Drosophila melanogaster: one gene and its partner. The protein of the gene in region 1 interacts with the protein of each later gene in a biochemical or structural test. Each region holds a gene or a part of one and is shown on either strand. Other genes may lie near its edges.

The links. Proteins that work in one complex are often made in the same cells at the same time.
Region 2: of the proteins of orb2 (region 1) and LIMK1, one has a biochemical effect on the other in vitro, tested with the Drosophila melanogaster proteins (one study listed by BioGRID).

The regions. Positions count from the first base shown.
Region 1 is NT_037436.4:8,951,123-8,954,880, reverse strand, and holds the start of orb2 (orb2), read left to right. Parts: upstream 1-1,646; 5' UTR 1,647-2,062; intron 2,063-3,758. UniProt on the Drosophila melanogaster protein: RNA-binding protein involved in translational regulation and required for long-term memory. Required in mushroom body gamma neurons for long-term memory in male courtship. Binds to mRNA 3'-UTRs.
Region 2 is NC_004354.4:12,590,281-12,594,038, reverse strand, and holds the start of LIMK1 (LIM domain kinase 1), read left to right. Parts: upstream 1-1,845; 5' UTR 1,846-2,108; intron 2,109-3,554; 5' UTR 3,555-3,590; coding exon 3,591-3,758. Other genes in the region: CG1824 (uncharacterized protein), read left to right, coding at 1-163, 427-1,032, 1,091-1,339. UniProt on the Drosophila melanogaster protein: Protein kinase which regulates actin filament dynamics. Phosphorylates and inactivates the actin binding/depolymerizing factor tsr/cofilin, thereby stabilizing the actin cytoskeleton.

The sequences.
Region 1 (3,758 bases):
AAAGTCTAAAGCCTATGTTGAAGCAAGTATGTGCCATCGTAGCTAAAAATAACAATGGGCGATTTAATCAAGAAAATAAAAAGTAAAATACAATAATTTTGGTGTTTTTATATATAAATATCTTTAATGGTAGTATTTTCTAAGTGTAATATTTATTTGAGATTTTTTTGCCAATGTTTAGAGAAGAGCGACAACACTCCCACAAGAAGAATTTGGGATTTACCCAATCACAGCCATTGAGAGTAAGCTTTTAGAAGTATGAGTAAGAATAAAGAAGAACATACGGACAAAATGTACAACCTTCTATTAAAGATGATTTTAGAGATTTTAAAAAGCCCGCTTAATAAACAGCGAAGTTGCCCAACTCTAACGTGTCAGCTGTTTGTGGTATTGTGGTATATCGATAACTTTGCTTGCGGTATATCGCTGTAGTAATAAGGGCATAAGGGCATATCAGTGAAAGATTAAATTTTTTTGTTAATAGTTTCCATTGTTGCCATTAGGTAAATATTTAAACAATACTTCTATTCTGAAATAATAAGCTTCGCCGTGTAGCAGGCGACGAATTTCGATGAAATTCTGAGTCTCGTCCGTTTCCTTGTCTTATTAGCTTTCGTTCTCTCGATAGAAAAATTTGTAGAAAATATCACACACGGGAAAAAACAAAAACATGAACATATTTTTGTAAAATATTTAATTAGCGAGAAGGACACAGCGTACACGTATATTTTGTGGTTTCGCATGTTGTTCGTCAGTGTTTTTGTGCAATTATTTGAAAGATTTGGCCAAACGCGAAACGCAACAGAAAGAGGAGAACACAATAAGACAATAACAAATTCGCAGCGCGTGTGTCGTTGAATGTGCGTGGTTGTGTGCGTTTGTGCTGCTGCCAAAAGAACGCGGATATAAACAAATATCCATTTGGATCGTTGGAGCTGTTTTGTTATTGTAAGTAATGCAGATTTATGTAATTCACTTGTGTGTGTGCTCTTTTTGACCAGTCTTTGTTGTTGTTTCTGCGCTATGAAAACAGCTGTGGCGTTGCCAGACAACATAGCGCTTTATATAATTTTCTATAGGGCTGAATTACACATAATTGCTGTGCTTAGCTTAATTATTACAACATTGGGGCCATTATTTATTTTCCTTGCTAATTACGAGTGACATGTAAAGTTATCGATAAATCGATTGGCTCGTTGGATGGTTTGTTATGGCAGAAGGGGTTCCAAACAACGCACTATAGGCTGAATGGTACCTTTTTGTGGCCAAAACTCCATTCTGTAATTGAGTGTTGTAAATAGCGCTTTTAGGTATATTAGCTGAAACAAAAACTTATGTTTAACTTGAGATTTAAACTGAAAATAGAGAAATCTCAATAAAAAAACGAGTTAATTTAATATAAGGGGCGGTGCCACGACCAGAATTTTTGGTACTATAAAAGATATGGGCTAGTGTCACCCAATGCAAATAACATAAACAAAATATCTCTCCGATTTAAAGTTATTAATTTTGGCCACAAAAAGGTACCATTAAGCCTACAGTGCATCGCACGAAAGCAAAACAAGCGAGAATGATTGATTTTTCGTCGTGCGTCTTCGGGCGAGTGGCAGCTTCGTGGAAAAGCGGGCAGCAGTGAAAACTTTTGGCATCACAGTCGTTGCTGACGAGCGGAAGGGACCGCAGCTCGGGAAAATCAGGAAAGAAAACAACGCGTCAGGGCGCTCTTCTTAAATTTGAAAATTAAATGCAACTAAATAGCGTAAATTAGTCAAAAGTGTAAATAGTTAAAATCGTTTTATAACCAAAAATTACCAGTGTAAATCGCTTATTAGTGCTGTGTTAAAAATAGTTACCGTTGTACGGAAAGAGAGAATCGAGTGCAAAGGAATTTTCCTACGTCACAGGCTGTGCGTTTGTGTGAGTGTGCACCCCCGGAAATGTAACACGCACACTGGCGCAGGAAAAACTTGCACCTGAAAGTTTTCGTCGTGTTTTCCATCTTCGTGCGCTCTCGGCATTCGACATAACACAAAAAAAAATAAATTGAATAACGCAGCAAAAGGTTAGTTATCCGCTATTCAGTGCACCTGTCAAAAATCCTATTTAAAATTCGGACTTATTTGCCCCAGTTTTTATCCAGGGCTGGCATTATCTACCGTCAGCGCGTGTGTATATTAAGTGAGTGTGCGTGCGAGTGTGTGTGTGTGAGAGAGTGTGTACGTAACCAATTGGAACTGGGGCAACTGGCAAATACGGCAACGAATCGGTGGAGCAAAGCAAACGCCGCAATAAACCCCTAAAAAATCTCCAACCCCGTGAAGCAAGCACGAGAAAAGCTGGCTGAAAGCTGCAACTTGGCCCAGTTACTTTGGCTCTAATTGCAGACGTGATAATAGAAGTGCACACAAAGCATAATATTTCCAGAGGGGTGGGTGTGGGACCAAAACCAAAAAGGGGAGAATAAAAAACAGCAGCAGCAGCATGACAAACAAAAACAAACTTCATTTGCCAAGAGCCTTTCAACCAAATTTGTTTGCACACTCATAGCTACAGATAGAGATACAAAGATACAATTGCATTTCAGTTGAAGATGAGCGGCTCTTCCACTTTTCTCGGTTTCTGAGCTCTCGAGTTGGTAAACAAAATTTCGAATTTTTTGGGGTGGCAGGTAGAATAACTGGTTTTATAAATTAACACTTGGCCACATTCAGGGGTAGTTTTTTAATGGGTTTCTTCGTATCACTTTAAAGCATTATCAACAAATACGAGTTAAGATTTACTATTCGCTGCTGCACACCCTAAATGGAAAAACTAAATAAATTTTGAAAACGATACAATAAAGAAATGTTAAATTCAATACCAACTAAAAAATACAGAAAACCAAAGATGTAAAAAAAAAGAAAAACTGATCTAGAAAATAACTCCTTAACTACTGCCAAGTATATTTTGTAGAAGAAGCTGTGAAACTTGGGAAAGTACCCCTAAAATAATGCCCCAATCCTAAGCCGCCGCTCTTTTTGAAGCTGAGCCAAGCAGTCTGTGCTTTTGGCGGCACATTACACTTGTTTACTTTTGAAGTGTGCGTGTGATACGCCTGTGTGTATGTGAGTGCTTCGTGGTGTGTGTGTGTGTGTGCGCTCCATGGGGGCGTTACTGTCTTTGTTGTTGTTATTGCTGTACGTCGTCGTCGTTCCTTCTTCGGCTATTTTTTGGGGGTCGCTCTCGTCTCGTTTGTAGGGCAAAATTGTGTATTGATTATGCCAGTTTTATTTTCCTTTTGTCTACATCCCCAGCCCAGTTTCAAAAACTGGAAAAGTGTGGGGCACCTGCGGTCTGTTTTTCATGCCCGACTGAGCCATTTCATTGGCACAGCGATTTCGTTGTCTCTCCGCATTTAACTAATTAAGAGCCTCTGTCTGCCCATCTCCCCCCTTTTTCAGAACAATAGACGTTTTCCGGTCGCTCAGCCCAAAATGAAGTGCGTGTCCAGGGACAGACGAAAAGCTTTAGAAATTGGATAGTTTAGTGCACTCAACGAAATTTTCAGATACTTTGCATATCTTATTTTTGGACTTAAAATGTAAGAAGCTTAAGAAGAAAACAATACATATCATATGTAAATGCTCCTTTAAGTAGGCAATATTTTGTTCAAAAACAGTTTTTTTTCGAGTATTTTGGAACAATACTTTATTTATGATTAAAATATTTTATTGAATTATTTATAATAATACTTTGACCACATTATAATAGTTTAATTT
Region 2 (3,758 bases), on another chromosome or scaffold:
CACCATGATCAGAGGCATGTCGGCCGGCAGTCGAGTCTTCGAGTTCCTATCGCTGCAGCCACAGGTGGAATTGCTGCGCGGCTACATCATCCCGCAGGAGCGGCTGCACGGCGAGATTCGATTCGAGAACGTCTCATTCGCATATCCCATGCAACCCGATCATGTGAGTTGTATTAAAGTATATCTTCATTTCATTCTCGAGACAATGATGGCATATTTACATTAATCGATGCTCTGTAATTTGTAAACTCGCCACTTTTTTATATAATATTGAATAACTTCTTATCGCTTCCGCAAGTAGATAACCATTTTATAATACCCACAAACATTTATGGCCAATATTTACGGCTAAGTGATAAAAAGATTAGAGTCTAGGCAATGCAAACAGTAATGAACTTCCTATGTCAATTTTTGCTTCATTCACAGCTGGTGCTCAAGGACTTTAGCCTGACGCTCCGCCCGGGCCAGACGGTGGCCCTGGTGGGAGCCAGTGGATCGGGCAAGTCGACGATAGCGTCGCTGGTGGAACGCTTCTACGAACCATCGGCGGGCAATATCAAACTGGACGGCTACAAGCTGTCGGACATATCGCCCTATTGGCTGCGGTCCAATGTCCTCGGTTTCATCGAACAGCAGCCGGTGCTGTTTGGCACATCGATATTGGAGAACATCCGATATGGTAAACCAGATGCGGGCGAGGAGGATGTGTATGCGGCAGCGCGTCTATCACAATCGCACGACTTTGTGACCGCCCTGCCCGATGGATATGCGACGCATGTGGGCGAACGGGGCACCCAGTTGAGCGGCGGTCAGCGGCAACGCATCGCCATTGCACGGGCGCTGCTCAAGAATCCGCGCATCCTCATCCTCGACGAGGCGACGAGTGCCTTGGACGCCACCAGCGAGGCGGAAGTGCAGAAGGCACTCGATACAGTGGTCCAGAATCGCACCACTCTGGTGATTGCCCATCGCTTGTCCACGATACGAAACGCTGACCTCATTGTCGTCCTTGATCAGGGACGCGTCGTGGAGGTGAGTTGTCCTAGACCATTGGTATCTTCAGAAATATTTATATTTTCCCTTGTTTTAGACCGGCAAACATGACGAACTGATGGGCAAGCGGGGCCTGTACTTTGAGCTGGTGCGTCAGCAGGAACGACGGGACATCCAGGAGCAAGTCCAGGCGGTGGAGGACGTTGTGGCCGTCAAGGAGCAGCAGGCAACTGCAACAGAAACTTCAACAGCCGCAACAATTGCAACTGCCGCAGAAACTTCCGCAGCAACAGTGACAGTGGGGAGCAGCAGCTTCGGTGGCAGGGCAAACGCAGCGCAAGGATAGTGACGATGTTAGGCAAATTGAATGATTCCCTATACACTTAATTTAATATTCTTATAATGTTTTCACTTTTTTTTTTGTTTTCAACTGACCAAAAACAAAAATGGTGAGAGACGCTAACAATAAGTATACAATAAAATAAACGCTGAAGACAGTATTGTTTTTGTTATAAACAGAAAGTATTTCATTGTCATTATCGCTAAATTCACCGGGTTCATTAAAAATAGATGGGATGCGTGAACTTAAATTAAAGTTTGAAAAACTGAATATAAAACACTTGAAATCCCAATTTCCGTTAAATAATATATTCAATGGGACCGCATTATTTCTACAACCATACTCATATACGGTCACTCGAAGATTAAAGAAAAACTATTTCAATATTCAATTCTGTTCAATATTTCTTGTTAGTGACAAGCAGCGTGTTTATAATAAAAAATTTGTTCATTAAAGAGTTTATATATTTTTTAAGTTGATTGGCAGCTAGACGATAGTTTTGAGATTCTTTAATGACAGTCCTACGGTCACACTGGCTGAATTGTATTTTATTTTGTGTAGTTTTGTTGTTGTTTTGTTTATTATGCATTTCTTTTTTATTGTTTGAGTTAGCGAGCTGTGCGTCGCGTCGGCATTTAAACAAAATCCGCGGCATTTCGGTAGTTGCGATTAATAATTGCTTGGCGGGAATTACAGTCGAATAAGAAATTGGCGAGGAAAAACCAACAAATGTGCAATGTGCGTCAAGTCAATAGCAATACAAACGAACAATTATGTAAGTGTGTGTGTGTGTTTGGTTTAGTTTAGTGTACAAGTCCAGCAAAAAACAATAAAATCTAAGTAAAAAACCAGTTGTTGTTGCTATTGGCTTTGCTAATGTCGTGTTGTTCCCGTTCCCCCACACACATTTTCTAACAGCGCGTGCATGTGTGTGTGTGTGTGTGTGTGTGCAGCACCTGTACGCGTGTGTGTGTGTGCTTCTGCCTCCGCACAGTGGACACATTCCTGAATTTTGGAGTCCAAAAATATGCAAATTGCCTGAGTGAATTAATTGACTTAATTAACAAAAATTGGACCGCAAGTTATGATAACCATAGTTGATTAAACGGAATTAGTTTCTAGCGGGACTAGTGCGACAAATACTCAAACTTACTTGATTTTTTACCATTCGTTCCATTCGTAAACCTAGCTTGTCTTGGCTATTTTATAGACTTCAGTCAGGGTGGCACACCCACTCATTTCCAATCTCTTCAAAGCAAAATCACAGCACTGTGATATGGTTGGTTAAAGTAAAAGTTCAATGGGTTAAGCAGGTGATTAAAGGCACATTAACCCCTAATGGAGCTTGGACTGCACTTAACGCACGGCTCACATGTGACCACTGTGCGCGCGTGCAAGTGTGTGCGTGTGCATTCGTCATTCATTGGTCATGTTTATGCGGTCGGAAGAGGGACGTGCACAACAACTACAGTTAGCTCAGCTGAAGTGCAATTGCGATTGCAGTTGATCCAAAGAGTCGCGTTTGTTGTTGCATCAACCGGAGTTTTCACGGTCAATGTTGAGCTATATCCATAAATACACAAACATTCATGTGTATTTGCATATACATATGTATGTCCATATGCATATATCCATGGATTATGCATGCAAATCGATGATGGAAATCAGGCGGTATAGCGAATTCCGATGGGGGGCAGCTGACTCAGGATCGAAGTCTTTATCACTGAACCCTAAACTAATGACTACCGGACTCAATTATTTTGTTTTGTTCGGTCATTTTGTTTAGTACGCAAAAATATTTACATGGCTATCGCTTTAGCAATAAAGTTCGAATTGCTGTCCCAGTATATCATAAAAAATCACGGAGAGTTTTGAATGCAATTGGTTTTGAAAAATGCCAAACCTTCCTATCATTAACACTTAAATCAGTTAGAAAAACTAATATAATACTATATTAGTTGATAATAAATGCATTTCATGTATGATATCATTGTAGATATCTTTTTTCTCAACGTTAATGATAATGGGTAAAGATAGCTTATTTATAGACCTACATTGCCTATATGATATTTGCTTAGTTTCCACTGGTTCATATCGACCTGTTGACGATAATTGGCCAAGTTCCGTGACTGCTGGTCTATATTTACTATATTTAATACCTATTCCGTCATCGACTAATACCTTTTTTTTAACCTCCCGCCCCCCTGCTCTTTACCCACAGTGCTAACGTGATCGGGCCAAGGCACAAAAACATTCCATGCATCATCAGCAGCGCCTGCGGGCAAATGGCGGACGAGGAGGCACTGGATTGGGCGCAGGATCAGGACCTGTGTCCGGAGGACACTCACCATTGTGCGCCCATTGTCGGGGTCAACTACTGCCACATCCAGAGGAGCCAATCGTGATGGCTCTCGGCCAGCAATGG